4 linked regions of the Mus musculus genome follow. The protein of the gene in region 1 interacts with the protein of each later gene in a pairwise test. Links are inferred from orthologs where the notes say so. Each region holds a gene or a part of one and is shown in the gene's direction. Other genes may lie near its edges. The genes, in order: Smad4, Dcp1a, Rassf5 and Pias1.

Region 1 (4,620 bases):
TTCAGGAGCATCCAAAGGGTCATGAGTTGATCTACAACCAGTTTTAATGATCTGCCAGCTGAAAGATCTTCCTTCAATCTTTAAAGTTGTATCCTTTGAGAGTGTCATACATGTATCTATACATTGTATATAGATCTTATCCACTCCAGGCTTTCTTACAACAGCTCCTGGACTCCCCCACTGGAATATCCTTTTCCTAACTTCATATCTCTCTCTCTCTCTCTTTTTATATATAACTCAATTTGTACTGCACCTATCAATTTTGATGACAATGAAGAATTGGATTTGTGAAGGAAATTCTACTATCGATTCATTTAAGTGATTTATTTTCTCATTGCAGACATCAACTTTTGAATTGTCCCTTTGGCTTACCCTGGGGGGGCAGTGTTACACATTGGTGTGTGTTGTAAAGTTTCTCCAACAGACTTAAGAAATGACTTGGTCTAACAGCTGTACTAGAAGGAACCCCGAGGGAAGGTGAAAAAGGAAACAAAAAGACAACATATAATTCATGTTTCCTAGACGTCTGAATAAATTTAAAGTTAGGGTCTGTCTATTTAGTCCTGGTTTGAAATTTGCCACGTAAATCCACCAGGCTGGAGCTCCTTCTGTCTCTGCTTCCCAAGGGCTAAGATTTACATGCATGGGCTGTGATTTAAAGCCAGGGACTATACGGCAGGCTTGTGTTCTAGCTACTAAGTACAATATTCATAAAATTATACAAGAAAGTAAGTACAAAGTCAAAATCAAAGACGGGCCTTTTGCCACCAAATGCACCACTTTTGTGGTGGGATGGACCCAGGGCTTTGTATATGGACAACAAATTTTGAACTGTCCCTTTACGTTGCCCTGAAAGTTTTAGATAGCGGACCACTTAAGTAATGAGAGGTAGTTTTGACTTGTTTTGTAAGGTGTGAAGTTCTGAAACTGAGCTTTCTTTACATCCCAGCCTGCACAACCTATTTAGCAGGTGTACACTTAAGCAAGTCTTGAAGGTCGCCTCCAACTCGAAATTCCCGCCTCTTTCCCAACTGCTCACGTTTGGCCACCTCGGGCTAGGCCCTGGAATGTGACTCCTTGACTGTCGCGCGCGCCTCCGAGCTCAACCTTTTGGAGCCGGTGTGATGAAAGGGACAGAGTGAGAGATCCGCTCGGAAGTAAACTGCTACAAACACCCGCACTCGGTCCAGCTGTGTCCACCAAGGTCTTCAAAAGCCAACCCAACCCGGCGGGCCTGCCCATCGCTCATCCCGAGCTGTCCCACGCTGCTTGGGTACTCTGTGAACCGCACTCCGTGTCTGAAGAGGGCATCCTGCGAAAAGGCGACTCCCCTCCGGCGCCGTTGCTCGCTCGCTGCTCAAACTCAGCCAGAGCCGCCGGGCTGCCCGCGGGCGCCTGCGCACTGGGACCCTCCCTGCTCTGGGCGGGAGGCGGGGGCAGCGGGGAGAAAGGAGCGCTGCGGGAGGGGAGCGGGGGAGGGAAGGGCCAAACCCTGAAATTACCCGGATGTGGTCTCCGCGCGCGCATGCTCAGTGTCCTTCCGACAAGTTGGCAGCAACAACACGGCCCTGGTCGTCGTCGCCGCTGCGGTAACGGAGCGGCTCGGGTGGCGGAGCCCGTGTTCGCGTCCGTCCGCCCGCCCGCCCGCCGTCCTCCGGAGGCCCTTCCCGCGCCGCGCTCCGCTCCGCGGCCGTCCCCGGGGCGGGAGCGCGTGACCGGAGCCGGCGCCCGCGAGCGAGGCCCCCCGCAGCGGGGCGGCTCCGGAGCTCCAGCGGCCCGGCCGGCCGGCGCGGTCCGCGGCGCGGCGGGGAGAGGGGGCCGCCTGGGCCGGACGCCGCGGGCGGGGCCCGGGAAGCGACAGCGAGGCGAGGCGCGGTGCGGCGCGGAGCCCAGGTAACGCGCGGTCCTCCCCTAACCGGGGCCTCGGCGCCCGCGCTTCCCCGCCCCGGGGCGGGCTCCCGCGGCGACCGGCGCGAGCGTGGGCCCAGCGGGGCTCGGGTGGGTCGCCCCCGCGCGTCCGGGGCTTCGCGTGCCCGCGCGTGGCTCCCGGGCCCCAACTCCTCTCGCAGTTAGGCGAGCCCGCCGTCCCGGGAACTCGGTCGCCGGTCCCCGTCCGTGCCGCCGCTCTTTGTTGTTCGGGAGGAGTTTGGCCGCGGCCCGGGCCGTCGCGTCGGCCCGGCCCGAGTGCGTTATGCCCGGGGTGCCCCGGGTCGGGTCCTCGTGCCTTCCCCACCTCCCCCACCCCCCAGCAAGTGTTTGTTTTCTCTTTGTCCCCACTTTCTCTTCCTGGTTGTGTGCTCTGAGTTTACGTTTGTAGCTTTGATTTGTTTACTTTTTGGGTATTGTGGGTGATGGCGGCGTGCGGGAGACACTCTTAGCGCCAAACTGAACCACCCTCCCCTAATAAAACGTGTCTCCTAATAAAAGGCGTAGTTTATTTTATTGTTAGGGCTACATGCACGGAGCGTGAAATTGGTGGAGGGTGGAGGGCGTTGGCTTCAGCACCCCAAACTGCTGTTATGATTTCTCAAGCCAGATTTTCAAAGACAAGGGCGTGTTTAGTTAACTTGAAAGGTTCCTTTGCCAGAGGTTTTAAAAAGCCCTGTTTATTGATAGCTCCTCCCCACTGCCCCACCCCACAAAACCTGGAGTAAACTTAATTTTTAAAGTTGGTTTTCAGGTAATTCATTTTAGAATTTATCAGTGCCTTCAGTTTCTGATAACTTAAGGTGGGATTGTCACTTACTTAGAAATAAAGTAACGAGATAAAGAGGGAGTTATTTTAAGTACCTTGAATTCGTGTTCTGCAGGCTTGTAATCTCGCTTAATTTTTTAACAATCGTTGAATTTTGCCAGATTTAGCATCCTTTTCCTCTCAGTAGTAGCTTGAGACTTTGAACGTTTTAAGAATCAGGTTCAGGACTTTCTGCTGACACAAACCGTGTGGAATCTTAACTGAATGTACAGAAATCTATTATAAATTCCACAAAGCAATTAGATTTCAAGCACCGCATTTGAATAGTTTTTGTTACAGATTTTACAGGTTTACCTTGCATTCAGGATATGAAGCGCTTGCAGTTGAAATGTATGTAGCATAGGCTATTCAGAGAAGTAAACTTCTCCCTACTGTAGACTCTATCTCTTGGATCTATCTGGTAGGATTAGTACGTGTTATTTCAGAGTGTAAATGATTGCTTTAATATTTCTTAAAATACAGTTTCTCCCTAATGCTTTGTTCAGTGTACTGTCATGAGTCTCTAGGGCTTCCTGCTCCTCTCTTCAACTCCTGACCATCCGTGTCTCTCAGCTTCTCCGGAGCTGGGATACAAAATTGCGACACGGTGCTCATAGGCTCAGGAGTGTGTTTTCTTCAGTGACCTGGTTACAAACATGCACCGAGGCAGACTAATACCCATAGCCTGAAGCAGCTTCTGATGTGATGAATTATGTAGGCTTCAATTGCCGGAATTAAAACAAATCCTTTCCAAAGAGAATTGACATAAAGGTTTTTAGTTTTTTGTCACTGTCTTAAGACAGGTGGCTTTTTTTTTTTTTTTTTTTTTTTTGCTTTCTAGGCTTTTGAGTGAGTATGCATTAAAGGGGTATTACATATTTTTGTTTTTGAAGATGTAGTTGACACTTTTGGACTAAATGCTTCCACTGTAAATCTTAAGTTGGGAAGAATTAAAATTGTGTTTACAGAATTAAGGAAAATTTGTGCTAAACAAGTCAGTGCAGTGATTTGGCGTGTGTTTTATATGGACCTGAACTTCCCTGATGGTTTTGCTCTTGAAATAGTTCTGATTATATGAGTTGTACAGATCTTGCTCTTTCTTTAAGGTCATTTTCATGTATGCTACATGTTAATTCAAGTGTTTCTGTTGGTGAGTTTTGTCTCTGGATTCTCTGCTTCACACACACGGGGGAGGGGCCGTATTAATGGTGGAATAGTAAAATACTTTATGCAGGATCCCCCCCCCCCCCCCCCCCCGTTAGAACCTGTTTTTTTATTTTTCTAACTGAGCCAGAGTTATAGTAACATTGGCACACACTATTCTAATTGAGCTGTGCATAGCTGGGGCCTGTACCAGGGCAGTTAACCCTGCAGAGTCTGCAGAGTTGGTTAAATCTAAAGTGCATATTTGGGCTTCTTTAAAATTTGATCTCTAGATGAGAGCACAATCCTTTTTTTTTTCTTTTTTGTTTTTGATGAAATATTACCTACTTCAGTTCTATTTTGTCCCCCATCTAGTTGATGCCTAGGTTTTTGTTTTTCTTTTCATTTTTGATTCACCCAGAATGAGTGTCTCTTTATAAGCATCTTGTAATAGCTTTCTCAGTGCTTCCTTGTGGTTGGATACCCCGGCCCTCCACTGTGCTGGGTTAAAGCCGTGAGGAGGACTGACTCAGGTGGTCCTCAGTCAGGTATACAGCTAACCCGACTAAAGGCTGTCATTGTTTCTGTGCTAAGTGGAAGCTGAAGTTAGAGCGGATGTCACATTTAGTACCGCTTTCTCAGATTACTTAGTTCTTTCCCCCATCTGCTGATTAAGATTCACTTAAGGTAGACATTCAGATAACTGATAAATATGTATAGATAGCATGCATATGAGCTACTTC
Region 2 (3,859 bases), on another chromosome or scaffold:
GCTAGCCAGGACTATCCTTTCTCAAAACAAAAAAACCCTGGTCTGCATGGAGTTGTCTTGTGTTTACTGGGCAGCATTAATTCTTTCCCAAAGACCATGAGCATTCACACCTATAAAAACATAGTGAAGAAAGCTGAGGCAGAGGGGTCTCAAGTTAGAGACCAGCCTGAACAACCCAGGTCTCAAAACCAAACAACAAAAGGACCTTCTCTGTCTCTTACAGTATACTTAGGATGAAGGCTGTTTAGTGCCACTAACCAGACTCAGAGAACCTTTGAAGAGCTTGGGGCTGCGGACATAGTAGTCGAGCCACTTGCCTGTTTTATGCGAGGTCCTGAGTTCAGCTTTCAGTGCTGCAGGAGCAAATTCTTAATCATTTATATTGTACACATTCTGCTTGTGTATGATAGCTGCTTGAGAGGACTGAGGCAGGAAGAGTGCAAATTCAAGGAACCCTTAACCTCTATACAGAAACAAATCCCAGGACTGAGGATAGGGCTCACTAGTAGAGTTGACCCTGAGTTCAGTCGCTGTCACACTTTTCTTAGAGTCACCTGGCAGGTTCTGTCCACACATGCTCTCAAGAACCTCCACAGGAGCTGCTGCTGTCCGAGGCTCATTCACTGGGAGCATTACCAACAAGTTCCTCTCGGCTCTGAACCATTCCTTGATATTGCTCTGTCACATGCAACTAACTGAAGCTTGCTCTATCTCTTTCTCTGTTTTCCCCATTAAACATTTCAGTCTATGCAGCAAAACCAGGATCCTGAAGTATTTTCCCAGCCTAAGGTGTTACCCAGTGCCATCCCGGTAAGGATGCCCCCACCCCAAATTGTGTGTACCTGTGTGGAGGCCAGAGCTGGAACTGAGTGTCCACTTTATATATTAAATAGTCAGGGTCTCTGCTTGAGCCAAGCCAACTTACAGTCTCTACCCCCCTGTGCCTGGGCCACCATACCCATCCAGATGTCCTCACAAGACAACATAGTGCAGATGTAGCAGGCACTCAACCCACTTAGCCATTTCCCTAGCCCAGGGGGCCCCCCACCCCCAGAGATCACATTGAACACTTTTGGGTTCTATTGTTGTAAGATGGGTTCTTACTACCTCAGTGAAAAGCTGTAACATTCCAGCTCTGTCCTGTCTCAGATGCCCCTTCTGGGACAGAGTTGCTCTGCTTCTCGGCAAAATTCCTTGCTGTGGCTTAAGACCTTATGTTAACTCTGTATAGATGTCTTCTTGACTGTATAGAGGGTGTCAGGCACTGGGTGGGCCATGTGGATCATTTGTAAGTGGGTAGGTGCTGGGGCCTGTATCAACCTGGTCTCTCTAAGTAAGAGGTACTCCTTGACCTAGAAAGTGAAGAGTCCCAGGAGACAGGCACTGTCCTGCCACAATCCCTCACTTCTGATAGCAGAGCTCCTGAGCCTGCATACTTCACTCCTTCTTTCTCAAGCATCCGCCTTGTTATCCACCACTCCCCTTCATGCACCAACCTTGACAGACACAGTTCTCCATGGCACTTGCTCACCTGCTTATGAGCCTGTACCCCTCTCCTGGATTTTCAGAGGTTAGCCTTCTGTCTGCTTTAGGTTAGCCTGTCCTGTTGTGTGGCCATCAGTAGAAGTAACTAGCCCAGTTTTATACCAAAAAGCAAGCTAAGAGGGCTGGAGGGCTGGCTCTGTGGCTGCTGAGCGGCACCGATGCTCTTGCTTGGGGATCCAACACCCTCTTCTGGCTTCTATGGGTACCACACACACACACCATGGGCATACATGCTACCAAACCACCCATACACATAAAATAAAATCTTAAGGGAAGGGGGCAGGGTAAGCTAAGTGTCTCAGATAACAAAAGTGACTATTATTCTGTGTCCCGGCAGATTGCAGGCTCTCCATTGGTTCCTGCAACCACCACAGCAGTATCTTCAGTCCTGCTGTCCCCCAGTGTGTTCCAGCAAACGGTTCCCAGGGCCGCAGACCTAGAGAGGAAAGCCAGCTCCCCCTCTCCCCTCACTGTTGGGACAGCAGAGAGTCAGAGAAAGCCTTCCATTATCCTCAGCAAGTCTCAGCTCCAGGACACACTGATACACCTAATAAAGGTATGCAGGGTGTCAGCTTTGTCTTTAACTTTGTATCTTAACAAGGCTTAGTGTATATTGGTGCAAGTTCAGAAACCTGCCTTGGCAGTAGCCTCTTTCCCCAGGCATAGCCTCCTGGTGGAATAATGGCTGTAAACCTGGACTGTCATTGTAACTGCCTCTGGGGGCAGGTTACTTGGGGAATTAGTTCCCCCAATCAGTTCTGTGTTTTCCTAAGGGGTTAGCATGGGGTGAGTTCTGAGGAAGTAACAGGCAATGTTTCCTTGCCTTCTCTTCCAGAATGACTCCAGCTTCCTCAGTACGCTTCATGCAGTTTACTTGCAGGTTCTGACCAAGAACAAAGACAACCACAACCTATGACTGCAGTGAAGGCAATGTGAAGGGAGAGGGTCCGCCTCAAGACACGCAGGCTTCCTCATGGAACAGCTAAGCAGAGCATGGAGCTTGAGGAGCCTGAGAGCCTTGTCCGTAAGGATGTTTCCTAGAGACGTTCTCAGTGATGATGGAGGTTTCACTGTGCAGCATCACCAGCAAACCTTTGTTTGACAAAACAACAAGAGACCATTGTGTTGAGTGACGTGGGTGTTTTCATCAGCTACAAGCCAGTGGGTGGAATGAGGAGCCTGACTGCCGGCTTGCTTTCCAGGCCTCGGGAGGAGCCACCAGCCTTGCAGCAGAGCTCAGTGGAGCCCACGCCCTCCCTCCTCTACTCCTAGAAGAACTTAATGTCAGCTCACAGAGTAGCTTCAGGTTTTAAGGATCAGAATTTAAGTTGACTCTTTGGAAGGTATTTGTTCAAGTGAAGTATATTTTCTATGAGCACCCCGCTTGGGCCTTAAGACTTCTGGGATGTCTTTGTGTTCCGGTAAGTGTCCCTGGTCCTGCCCTGTGCAAACTCCGGTGAAGCACAGCTCTTGGGATAGGCCGGCTGGGCTCTGATGGAGGAGGCTTCACACCCTTGAAGCAGAGGCCGGGGCCACACAGATCCAGATCCTACCAGAAGGCTCCATTTTAGTGAACTCTCAGCAGTTTAAGTGTCAAGTTTGTGTGTGAAGCGCAGCCTTACTTTCCTTTTCTGTCTAAACACAGTTCAAGTTATTGTTGATTGTTTTCCTTAACACTTTGGCAAAAGGACCAGTGGACCATTCTGACAAAGCCATTCTGGTTCCATTCCTCAAATGTGCTGAGCAGTTTAAAGCTATGCAGAAAGGGAGCTGTGCTCACACTGCCTGCCTTCCTTCCTTCCTTAGTTGTAGACTCTGGAGTCAGAAAGCAAGTGTGAGACCTAGCACCTCACAGTATATCCTAGGCTGCGAGCTCTCTGGCCGCAGTCAGAACTGTAAAGATGCTTTGTGATGCTGCTATTGATCTGCCATGGTTTCTATTTATGCTTTTATGGCATGTAATGGTGTTTGGTAATATTTTAATGTAGAATTTGATTATTTCAGCAATAGTAATTTTGAGATATTCTTTGAATGAAAAGTGTCTTCGTTTCTATGATACAGGTCATTTTCTAGTATTTAACCAATTAATGCACTGCTTACTTTTCTGAGCACTATTTAATGATGGGTAAGAACCCAGTTGGCTCAACCAGCTAGCGTAAGGATTCGCTGTGAATAATGCTGACAGACGCAGCGGTCCCGCCGGGACAGTTGCTTAAGCTTTAATGGGAACTCAATCAAAGGCTCATCGATTCATTCTTTCTAGCTGAAGTTTTAGAAAATTACTTATTAATTACTTCTTTTACTTTGGTCTTAG
Region 3 (4,543 bases), on another chromosome or scaffold:
GTGAAAGTGAGGATTCCCCAGCCAGACACTAGGGGGAGACCCATCACTAGCCGGGAAAGAACCCTGGAGATTAAAATGTAGGCGAATTTATAGACAATTCCAGGTCTGGTTTCAGAATCCCCACACATTCTATACATACATTATTGCTCCCAATACTCTAACCTGAGGGTTCTCATCCCTTTTATAAGGTAGCTTGTGTGCAGAGAGAACCTATGCATTTTAACCCCGCCTATATTAAACACCGGTACTGTGAAAGTGTATATGAATCATTGCTATCCAGTATTATTTAATAAGTAAGGAGAAAGAGTGTGTACATGTTCACTATAGACATGCCCCTCCCCCAATATTTCTACCAGTGGTTTGTTGAGACCCAAAATACAGAATTTTTGAATTTGGTGCAGTGACTCTATTCCCATAGTTGCTTGCTGGTGGCTGCCACTAAATCAATCAAACCTGTAATTTAAGGGGGGCAGGGGGAGGCGGGAATGTGAGCTAGGCCTAAGTCAGAACCGCAGAACTGGAAAGAGCAAAGGCGCCTGCAGCTACAAAACCAGCCTGTAGAGGGCCCAGGACCCTTGCTAGCCTACGACCGACCGACCGGGCACAGGTTCGAAAATCCACAGTCCCACCTGTTCTCTATCCCTTGAGACGGCACTGTGGACAGGCCCACTAGTTATTACCATTACATAATTTTCAAGACCCAGTGCAAAAAGAATAGGCCGGGTTAAGAATTAGGATTTTCAAGATGGTGGCGACATAACCTTAAGCCAGACAGGAACCTATGGCGCACCCCTTGGTGCTGGTAGGATGCGGACTTCTCCACCCTGCGCCCCTGCTCAGGTGGACCTTCCATACCAAAGGAGGTGTGTAAGGGATTGGCATTCATTTCCGCAGTGATTACTCCAGCAACTAAGGGGGGAGGGGCGTAATTCGGGAGGAAAGTTCCTGTCCACCCATGGGGCACAGAGAGGTCTCTCATGATCACCGGATCACCAAGGATCACCAGTCACTCTAATCCCAGTCTTCGGGGAGGGGCAGTCTATGTAGCAGAGGTGAGAAGGGAGAGAGCTGATGTAGCCAGCTTCCCACGGGCAGCTCGGAGAATCCGCGGGCCGCCTTACTGACAGCGGCGGGCTAGCTCCTGTCCCGGGGCCACACCAGGTTGCCAAAGCCCTGCCTTCCCACCTGCTCCCCGCCCCGCCGGTGTTAGGGCGCCCTGGGAGACGCCCAGAGGGGACGGGGCAGAGCTGAAGACAGGCGCAGGAGCCGGCGCCTACCGAGCTCGCGAAGCCTCTCGGGTGCTCGGACCTTCACCACCGCCTAGTCGCCGAGTCACTCCTAAATCCACGCGGCTCCGACCCGCAGTCACGCGTGTTGCCCTTCCGGCCTCTCGGTGGGCTCCGCCCCGCCCCGCCCCGCCCGCGGGCTGCGGGCCCTTTAAAAGCGCGCTCGACCGGAGCCGCCCCTTCTGTTGGCCAGGCTCGGTAGCTGCCGCCGCCTGCGGGCCTTGGCCATGGCTTCCCCGGCCATCGGGCAACGTCCCTACCCGCTGCTCCTAGATCCCGAGCCGCCGCGGTATCTGCAGAGTCTGGGTGGCACCGAGCCGCCACCTCCCGCCCGGCCGCGCCGCTGCATCCCCACGGCCCTGATCCCCGCGGCCGGGGCGTCAGAGGATCGCGGTGGCAGGAGGAGTGGCCGGAGGGACCCCGAACCCACGCCCCGAGACTGCCGACACGCTCGCCCTGTCCGGCCCGGTCTGCAGCCGAGACTGCGGCTGCGACCTGGGTCACACCGACCCCGCGACGTGAGGAGCATCTTCGAGCAGCCGCAGGATCCCCGCGTCTTGGCCGAGAGAGGCGAGGGGCACCGTTTCGTGGAACTGGCGCTGCGGGGCGGTCCGGGCTGGTGTGACCTGTGCGGACGAGAGGTGCTGCGGCAGGCGCTGCGCTGCGCTAGTGAGTGAGGGCGGGGAAGGTGCGCGAGGTGAAGGGCTCTGAGCCCGGGAGAGGAGGCCATTGCCTTTTGTGGCCAGTCCGAACTTTTAGGCAGGTTACCTTTGGAGACAGCTGCTGTCACTGCCTGGCATCCTTTAATGGCTGCCCACTGACCAGAGGTAGTTGTATGTGTACAGTTACGTATCCTCAGACGGGTTTGAGCCTTCTCCCCCGTGCGCGTAAACAAGCTTGTTTGTAGGTTGGGACTGATGGCTCTCCACAAGGTCATTGTGTCTTACGCACACCCTCTTCTTCCTTTAGTTGTGAGTTTTAAAAATGAGGTAGTGATATTGACAACGAAGTGAGTATTTGACACTTATTAGGGTTAATGGGGAGATGACTCGGTGGTCACCTCAGGTTCTCTCAGGCTCTTCCTCCTAGGGAGCTGTTGGCATGGGAAGCCTGGTTAGGCTTTGAATGGAAGCAGGCTGTGAGGCTGAAAGATGCCAAGGTCACCTGCACCTGAGGCCTCCTCAGCCCTCCACACCTGGCTCAACGCTCTATACTCTGCTCCAGTGTGTGACTGTGCCTCGTGGCCTCCTCTTCCTCCTCCTGTCCCCCTGCACCCGCCTTCCAGCCCTAAAATCACTAAGCTCCCCGCCAGTTCCTTCCTTCCACAAGGCATCCCCACTGGCCTGCTGGCTTCTCCCAATCTTACTGTAACACTGGGCACCAGTATAGAGAGTTTCTGAGCAAGTCTGCGCTCTTTTTAGGGCTTATCATTACCTCTCGCCAATGGTGAGTCTGTATCCCTGTATAAGTCTCCTCCCCACCAACCCAGGGATCTGCTGTTGCCAGAGGATACTCATACCCGTGTGTTTACGTAGCTCCTTTGAACATATGAAGCACGCAGTGCAATGACAGCTTCCGGCAATCATCTGTGGACATGGATTACAGTCACATCTTTTGGTAAAGGGCCATCCTCTGTTGCCTCCTTCAGACTGCAACACTGGACAGCAGCAGCTAGCACTACTACCCTCACTCTAGCCCATAACAGCTCCCCCTCAGCCGCTCCAGAATATGTGAAAGGAAAAAGGGGGACTATTCTTCCTACCATGAGCATCCCCCATACAGGTGCCTGTTAAGGAGAAGGCTGGGCATGTAGAGTCCTGTGCACGGGCTGCTGTTCCTTGTAAATGCTGCTGACCTGCAGACGAATCCAGTGCAACTTACCTCTGGGCCCGCTGCTAGCTTTATCTCCCTCCGTGTTCCTGAGTGCTTTGCAGTACCCACTAGCCCTGGACACAGAGGATGAGGCAGTGGATTCACTGTTATGGATCTACTAAGGCTCAAATTCCAGAAGCTGCACTGTCTGTGAGAATATGCTTGTTGCAATTCCCGCTTGTTTAGACTTTGAGGGACTGTCAGCTTTACTCTGAGTTTGTGATATTCTTCTGGTTAGCAATGATGCTGTGTTGGCAGGATTCTGTGGGTATCTGTGCAGTACTCCATGACGAAATGAGCATCCTCATACCACATGAGAGTTGTTTATTTCCCTTGCTCCGTCCCTAAATAGTTTCCAGCACTTGGGAAATAGTGTCCTCCCTGCCGTTTCCTTCCACAAGGCATCCCCACTGGCCTGCGACTTGCTGAGGTCCTTTCACTTTCTTGGGTTCCTGTGGCCCCTGAGTAGTCGATTTCCTACCAGCCAGAGATGCCTGAACACCAAAGAGGCAGCAGAACTGAAGTCAGGAAGGCCACAGAAAGGAATCTCTGTTTGTTTGGTTTTTTTTAATATTTAACTAACCGTGAGTGTTCGGCTGACCAAGAGAAAGTTGAGACAGTTTTGGTGTGCAGGACAGACTCACCAGACATCTGGTGCTAAGCTGAGGTCTGGCTCTCTGAGAGGGTTTATTTGTTTTATTTTCATTTTTGAAAAGCATGGGTCAGAAAAGGATGTTTTAAAAGGTAATCCTGGAGCTGGGAAGAGGGGGGCAACTCAGTTGGCAAAGCAAGCATGAGGACCTGAACTGGATCCTTAGAACCCACATTTAAAATAAATAAATAAATAAAAGCAGGCATGGTAGCACATGCTTGTAACCTCAGTGCTGGACGGTGAGTGGAGACCGGCAGAGTCCTGTCTGGCCCTCACTGGCCAACCCTAGCTACTCGTACACATAGACACAGGCACACACGCACACCTCAAACTAGAACCAAAGTCCCGGCTTTGAATCCGAAATGTCACTTAGTCTCTGTGTGACCCCATGAATCTCTGTGTTGCCCTCACTTGTCTTTAAGAAGCGTGGATAATGATCTTATCTACAGCATCGTGTTAATGTGGGGATTCAGTGTAGTAATCATATACGTGTACGTTGATTAGAAAAGTGCCTGGCAGGGTACACAATGAACGTCCAATTAGATATAAGTGTGACCATTGTCTCCTCCCATTTAAGACCATTAATGGCTACCTGGGGCTCACTCTGCCACATAGCATAAGCATGGGGTACGGTTTTCAAGCTTTGTTTGGTGGTGGAGTTGGAAGCAGGAAGCGGATAGTATATCTTGGGAGTTTAGGTATGAAGTGTCCTCTAGACATGGCATCCCTGCCT
Region 4 (4,501 bases), on another chromosome or scaffold:
CCCTTCCCTCCTTTTTTCCTTCCTTCCTTTCTTGTTCCCCTACCCCTACCCCAGGTCTCTTTGTGTAGCCTTGGCTATCTTAGAACAAGTTCTGTAGACCAGGCTGACCTCGAACTCACAGAGATCTGCCTCGTCTTTATAGCAAATTCCAGGGCTGAATAGTGAGACTCAGGAGAGAAAAAGGGTGGAGGGCGGAAAGGAGGGAGAGAGACGAGGAGAGAGGAATAGGGGTGGGGGTGGGGAAGCTACCTAGTAAAGAGACAGGAATGGAATGTTGGGACAGTGGCAGTGATGTGGAGGAAAGTTCAAGAACTCTGTTTCCAGAGAAAGCAATCACATCAACTGTTAGCAGTTCCCTCTAGGCAATTGAGGTAAGCCCTGGGAACTGAGAGTGGGCTTCGAAAAGGTGTAGATGAGAGCTCAAGATAGGGCAGGCAGTGGAGCTGCCTCAGGATAGGTTTGGAGGTAATGCCACTGAAGAAATGGGAACAAGTACTTGTAGAAAAATGAAGTCTTGTTTGTGAATTTATTCAGTGAAGAAAGCGGAGAAATAGAGTACCCATTGAAGGTAATTTTGGATCCAGAGGAAGCATAAATTTAAGTAAGGAATTTTGGTTATGTTTATATGCTGATGAAAATGATTCCTTGAAGAAAGGGGGTTGGAACTATAAAGATACTGGAGTAAAACATGTGGGCATGTGGGAGTGAAATAATCCAGGTCACTGGTCAGGACCTGGCCTTCTTGAATTCAGAGTAACCCAAATGTTAAGAGGATTTTGATAGTAAAAAGTTGATCAGTTAAAAAAGGCTGGGGTTTTGAAGGAAGCTTTTAGTAGATAGGAGTAAGTCTAAATATCAATGTAGGTGAAGAAAACCCTTCTGGGATTAAGCACACCCCACCCCCCCCAATCCATTTTTCTCTTGGTGAGCCTTTTAATCTCTATGCTGTTCATCACCATTAGTAATTATATCTTAATAGTTCACAGATCTGTACCCCATGAGCGACAGGTCAGGGATCTTCTCTAATTTCTGACTACCCAGGGTGACGCGATGAATAAATGTCTTCAGAATTTGCCTTAGCTACTACTGTTAAATGCTGTTTAGGAGAGTCCCTTTTTCCCCTCAGAGCTTTTATTTCGGAAAAGATACCATGGGAATGATATATATATATATATATATATTTTTTTTTTTTTTTCTTTTTTGGCCTAACTGCCTCATCATGAGGATCTGCGTAAACCCAGAAACGCTTCGTCAAATTCTCCTTAGACAAAACTGACTAATTGGCTAGTTGTGATCGACCGGCAGCTGGGTAGGGTACAGGTGCAGAACGCATCTTGCGCATGGGGGCGCGCCGTGGCTTCAGTCAACTGGGGCTCAGAGGGCAGCCGAAGGATGAGACTGAGGCCAACACCTCCCCAGATGTGGCCTCTTCCCTGGGCGCTACTGGCTCGGCCAGTGTGGGGGCGGGGAGGCCGAGGGGGTAGTAACTGTCAAACTCCCGCTTGGCGCCATTATTTAAATAGTGCGTGTGGGTCTCGCAGCTGTGCGTGCCCGGGGCGGGGCAGCGAGCTCCTGGAGTGGGGCGGAGGCCAGGGGCGGAGCGGGAAGGCTGAGGGGCGGGGTGGAGGCGGAGTCAAGTCCGCTAGAGGGGAGGTTCCAGCGCGGCCCCCGGCGAGCTTCATTGCGCTTGCGCTGACAGACGCAAGATGGCGGACAGTGCGGAACTAAAGGTAAAGCGCAGCTCGAATTCACTTCTAATATTCGGCCGCGGAGACGGCGCCGCGGCTGCCGGGGGGATGGGTCGGACCCTGGGGGGCCCGCTCGGGCCGGGCTCCACCCGAGTCTGGAGTTGTAGGCGGGAGAGGCGCTCCGGGCCTTAGTGGAGGGGGCCTGGCTGCGGCGGGCCGTGGGCCCCGGGTGCCTCGGGGGCGCTGACGGGTCGTCCCCGGCGTGTTATTGTTGTGGGCGCCTCTGGCGGGGGTGGCGGGGCGAAGAGAGAGTGAGTCGGGACGTGGCGGCAGCGGCGGTCCCCGGGGCCTGGGTGCCTTACCTTGCAGCCCGCCTCCCCCCCCCCCCCCCATGGGCAGCCAGGGGGTGGGGGGGTGTAGGCTGCTCTGGGAAGAGGGGGATCGGGAAAACTGCCCCGCTGCCGCTTCCTCTTCCTCTTTCGCCGTCCCGGGCTCCTGTCAGGCGCAGCGCTCGGACCCCCGGGAACTTGGCTCCGGCCGCCCCGCCCCTCCGCGGCGCCCAGGCGCCCCCGCCTCGCTTGCCGCCGCTGCCCGCCCGCCTGTCAATGGGTGCCCGGCCAGAGGGAATGCGCGATCCCGGGGCAATCGGCTAGGGAATACGAGGGAGAAGCTCTTGGAAAGTTTAGCGAGCCCGGAGCCGGCGTTGGGGGTTCGGCTAAAGGGTTGCAGGGGGAGTCTGCCCGGGCGGGACGTTACTGTTTCTCTCTTGATTTCGGGCCACCGGGGAGGGTGTGTGTGTGGTGGTGGGGAGCAACCCATTGAAAGAGTGTGCTTTTGGGAGCGGTGGTGGGGATGCAGCCACCTCTCTGCACTCTTGCTGTCTCTGGTGTGGCAGATGAGAGCAGCCTTGGGGGTCTCTAAACACACCATGATGGCGATGCTATAGCTGATGGAGGTGAATGGTTCGTGTTTATATCCCCCGTTGCCTTTTGTTTGTTAGGGACATCTTGCTGGCCATGTTGATTTAAACGAAATTCTCCTCCCACCCACCCCCCATCCCACCCCAACCTCCAATAAATAGAACGTTCCATCGTTCCTCTCAACTGTACCAATTACTCATGCCTCGCGAAATTAGATGAAAGGGTGCCCCCTTTCCCCCGCTTTTTCTCCCACCCCAATCTTTACCTGATGATGGCTCCTTTACTGAAGCACATATACCACTACACAAGCAGTTGGGGGAGGGCTGGTGGAACCCTTATGATTGGATTGTGACAAATGGGTCTCTGCTTGAATAATTCTGGTTTAGTAGCAGGCAGGCAGTTCTTAACTAACGCATATTATTTAGAGGCTCTGAACATGGTATTCCCTTCTCTGGCTTCCTGTGTGCGAACCAAACAGCTGGTTATAGCACATCTCTGTCAGAGTGGAGATTGGGCTATGCAATTATAAATCCTCAGGGAGATTTAGAAATTCTTTTTATAATCAATAAAAAAAATTATTATTTTCCCCATTATAATGAAATAACTTCTAAAACAAGCAGACCACTACCTGTGTTTCTGGACACTTTTCTTTCCGTGCACCTGTGTGTGTGTGTGTGTGTGTGTGTGTGTAAAAGCCTCACTGGAAGATCTTTTTTTCCTTAGTAACTTTGGAGTGTTAACATATCAAGATTTTTGTACAAGATTTGGGTATTTGTTTTTTTTAAGTTTACTTCTAATTACTAACTTGTTTAAGACAGAAAATCTTAATGGATAGCGCCCCCCCCCCCTTTTTTTTTAAGACAGAGGTTTGCTATGTTGCTGAGGTTGGTCTGGAACTCACTGTGTAGACAGACCATACAGGCTTTAAACTTCAGGGATCCTCTAGCCTCTGCCTCCTTAGTGCTAGGATTAAAGGGATTAAAGGCATTCACCACCATTCCTGACTTGGATAGTTTTTTTTATCCCAATTTCAGACTATTGATTTCACCAAGAAAGCCTCTGAAATTTAACATTTTGGAGACAACCACCTTGCATAAAAACAAACGAACAAAAAACCCCAGAGCTCAAGTATGTGTATTTTATGTAATTATTTTTCTGTCACTATGTTACTGTCATCTTTTATTTTTGATTTTGTTTTGAGGCAGGGTTTCTCTCTGTGTAGCCCTGGCTGTCCTGGAACTCACTCTATAGAACAGACTGGCCTCAAACTCAGAACTCAGAGATCTGCCTGCCTCCTGCTTCCCAAGTGCTGGGATTAAAAGCATGTGCCACCCCCATCCTCTTCAGAGTTGCTGCTGTCTTATCTTTGCTTCCTAATACTTTTTAGGAGTCAATTTGAAAAATAGCTGGCCAAGTTTTTTATACATGGACCATGTAGTAAGGCTTGAAAACCATATGGGAAAAGTACCTGCAAAGAACAGAGTACCTTTGTTGTTTCTATTTTAAGAAAGTGCCTTCGGGGCCAGGCATAGTGGCCCCATACCTTTAATCCCAGCCTTTGGGAGGCAGAGGCAGGTGAATCTCTTTTTGAGGATCAGCTGATCTACAGAGTGAGTTCCAGGATAGGCAGAGCTACTTAGTAAGATCATGTCTTGATAAAATAAAGAAATAGAATAAAGAAAAAGGAAAAAGAAAGAAGAGTGCCTTTGGGGATAGATGAGATTCCTGGTGTGAGTCTTGTTAGGTAAAGTTTACTCTTTACAGAAATGAGTCAGTATCACACAGACTCTGAACACTTAATGGAAATGGTATTTTTCTAAAACTGGTCTCCATTTTTTCACCCTCTCTAAAAGCTACTTGAAATTTCCAGAGGGTTTGTTTTCCACTCTTATG

Evidence for each region.
Region 2: the proteins of Smad4 (region 1) and Dcp1a interact in binary tests that used the Homo sapiens proteins (3 or more experiments, as listed by UniProt). The link is inferred for Mus musculus from reciprocal best matches to the Homo sapiens genes SMAD4 and DCP1A.
Region 3: the proteins of Smad4 (region 1) and Rassf5 interact in binary tests that used the Homo sapiens proteins (3 or more experiments, as listed by UniProt). The link is inferred for Mus musculus from reciprocal best matches to the Homo sapiens genes SMAD4 and RASSF5.
Region 4: the proteins of Smad4 (region 1) and Pias1 interact in a two-hybrid assay, tested with the Homo sapiens proteins (2 studies listed by BioGRID and IntAct). The link is inferred for Mus musculus from reciprocal best matches to the Homo sapiens genes SMAD4 and PIAS1.

What each region holds. Positions count from the first base shown.
Region 1 is NC_000084.6:73,700,703-73,705,322, reverse strand, and holds the start of Smad4 (mothers against decapentaplegic homolog 4), read left to right. Parts: upstream 1-1,531; 5' UTR 1,532-1,893; intron 1,894-4,620. UniProt on the Homo sapiens protein: In muscle physiology, plays a central role in the balance between atrophy and hypertrophy. When recruited by MSTN, promotes atrophy response via phosphorylated SMAD2/4.
Region 2 is NC_000080.6:30,520,846-30,524,704, forward strand, and holds part of Dcp1a (mRNA-decapping enzyme 1A), read left to right. Parts: intron 1-744; coding exon 745-810; intron 811-1,882; coding exon 1,883-2,101; intron 2,102-2,380; coding exon 2,381-2,461; 3' UTR 2,462-3,859. UniProt on the Homo sapiens protein: Necessary for the degradation of mRNAs, both in normal mRNA turnover and in nonsense-mediated mRNA decay. Removes the 7-methyl guanine cap structure from mRNA molecules, yielding a 5'-phosphorylated mRNA fragment and 7m-GDP.
Region 3 is NC_000067.6:131,242,101-131,246,643, reverse strand, and holds the start of Rassf5 (ras association domain-containing protein 5), read left to right. Parts: upstream 1-1,465; 5' UTR 1,466-1,513; coding exon 1,514-1,955; intron 1,956-4,543. UniProt on the Homo sapiens protein: Potential tumor suppressor. Seems to be involved in lymphocyte adhesion by linking RAP1A activation upon T-cell receptor or chemokine stimulation to integrin activation.
Region 4 is NC_000075.6:62,978,077-62,982,577, reverse strand, and holds the start of Pias1 (E3 SUMO-protein ligase PIAS1), read left to right. Parts: upstream 1-1,698; 5' UTR 1,699-1,706; coding exon 1,707-1,730; intron 1,731-2,050; exon of another isoform or gene 2,051-2,064; intron 2,065-4,501. UniProt on the Homo sapiens protein: Functions as an E3-type small ubiquitin-like modifier (SUMO) ligase, stabilizing the interaction between UBE2I and the substrate, and as a SUMO-tethering factor. Catalyzes sumoylation of various proteins, such as CEBPB, MRE11, MTA1, PTK2 and PML.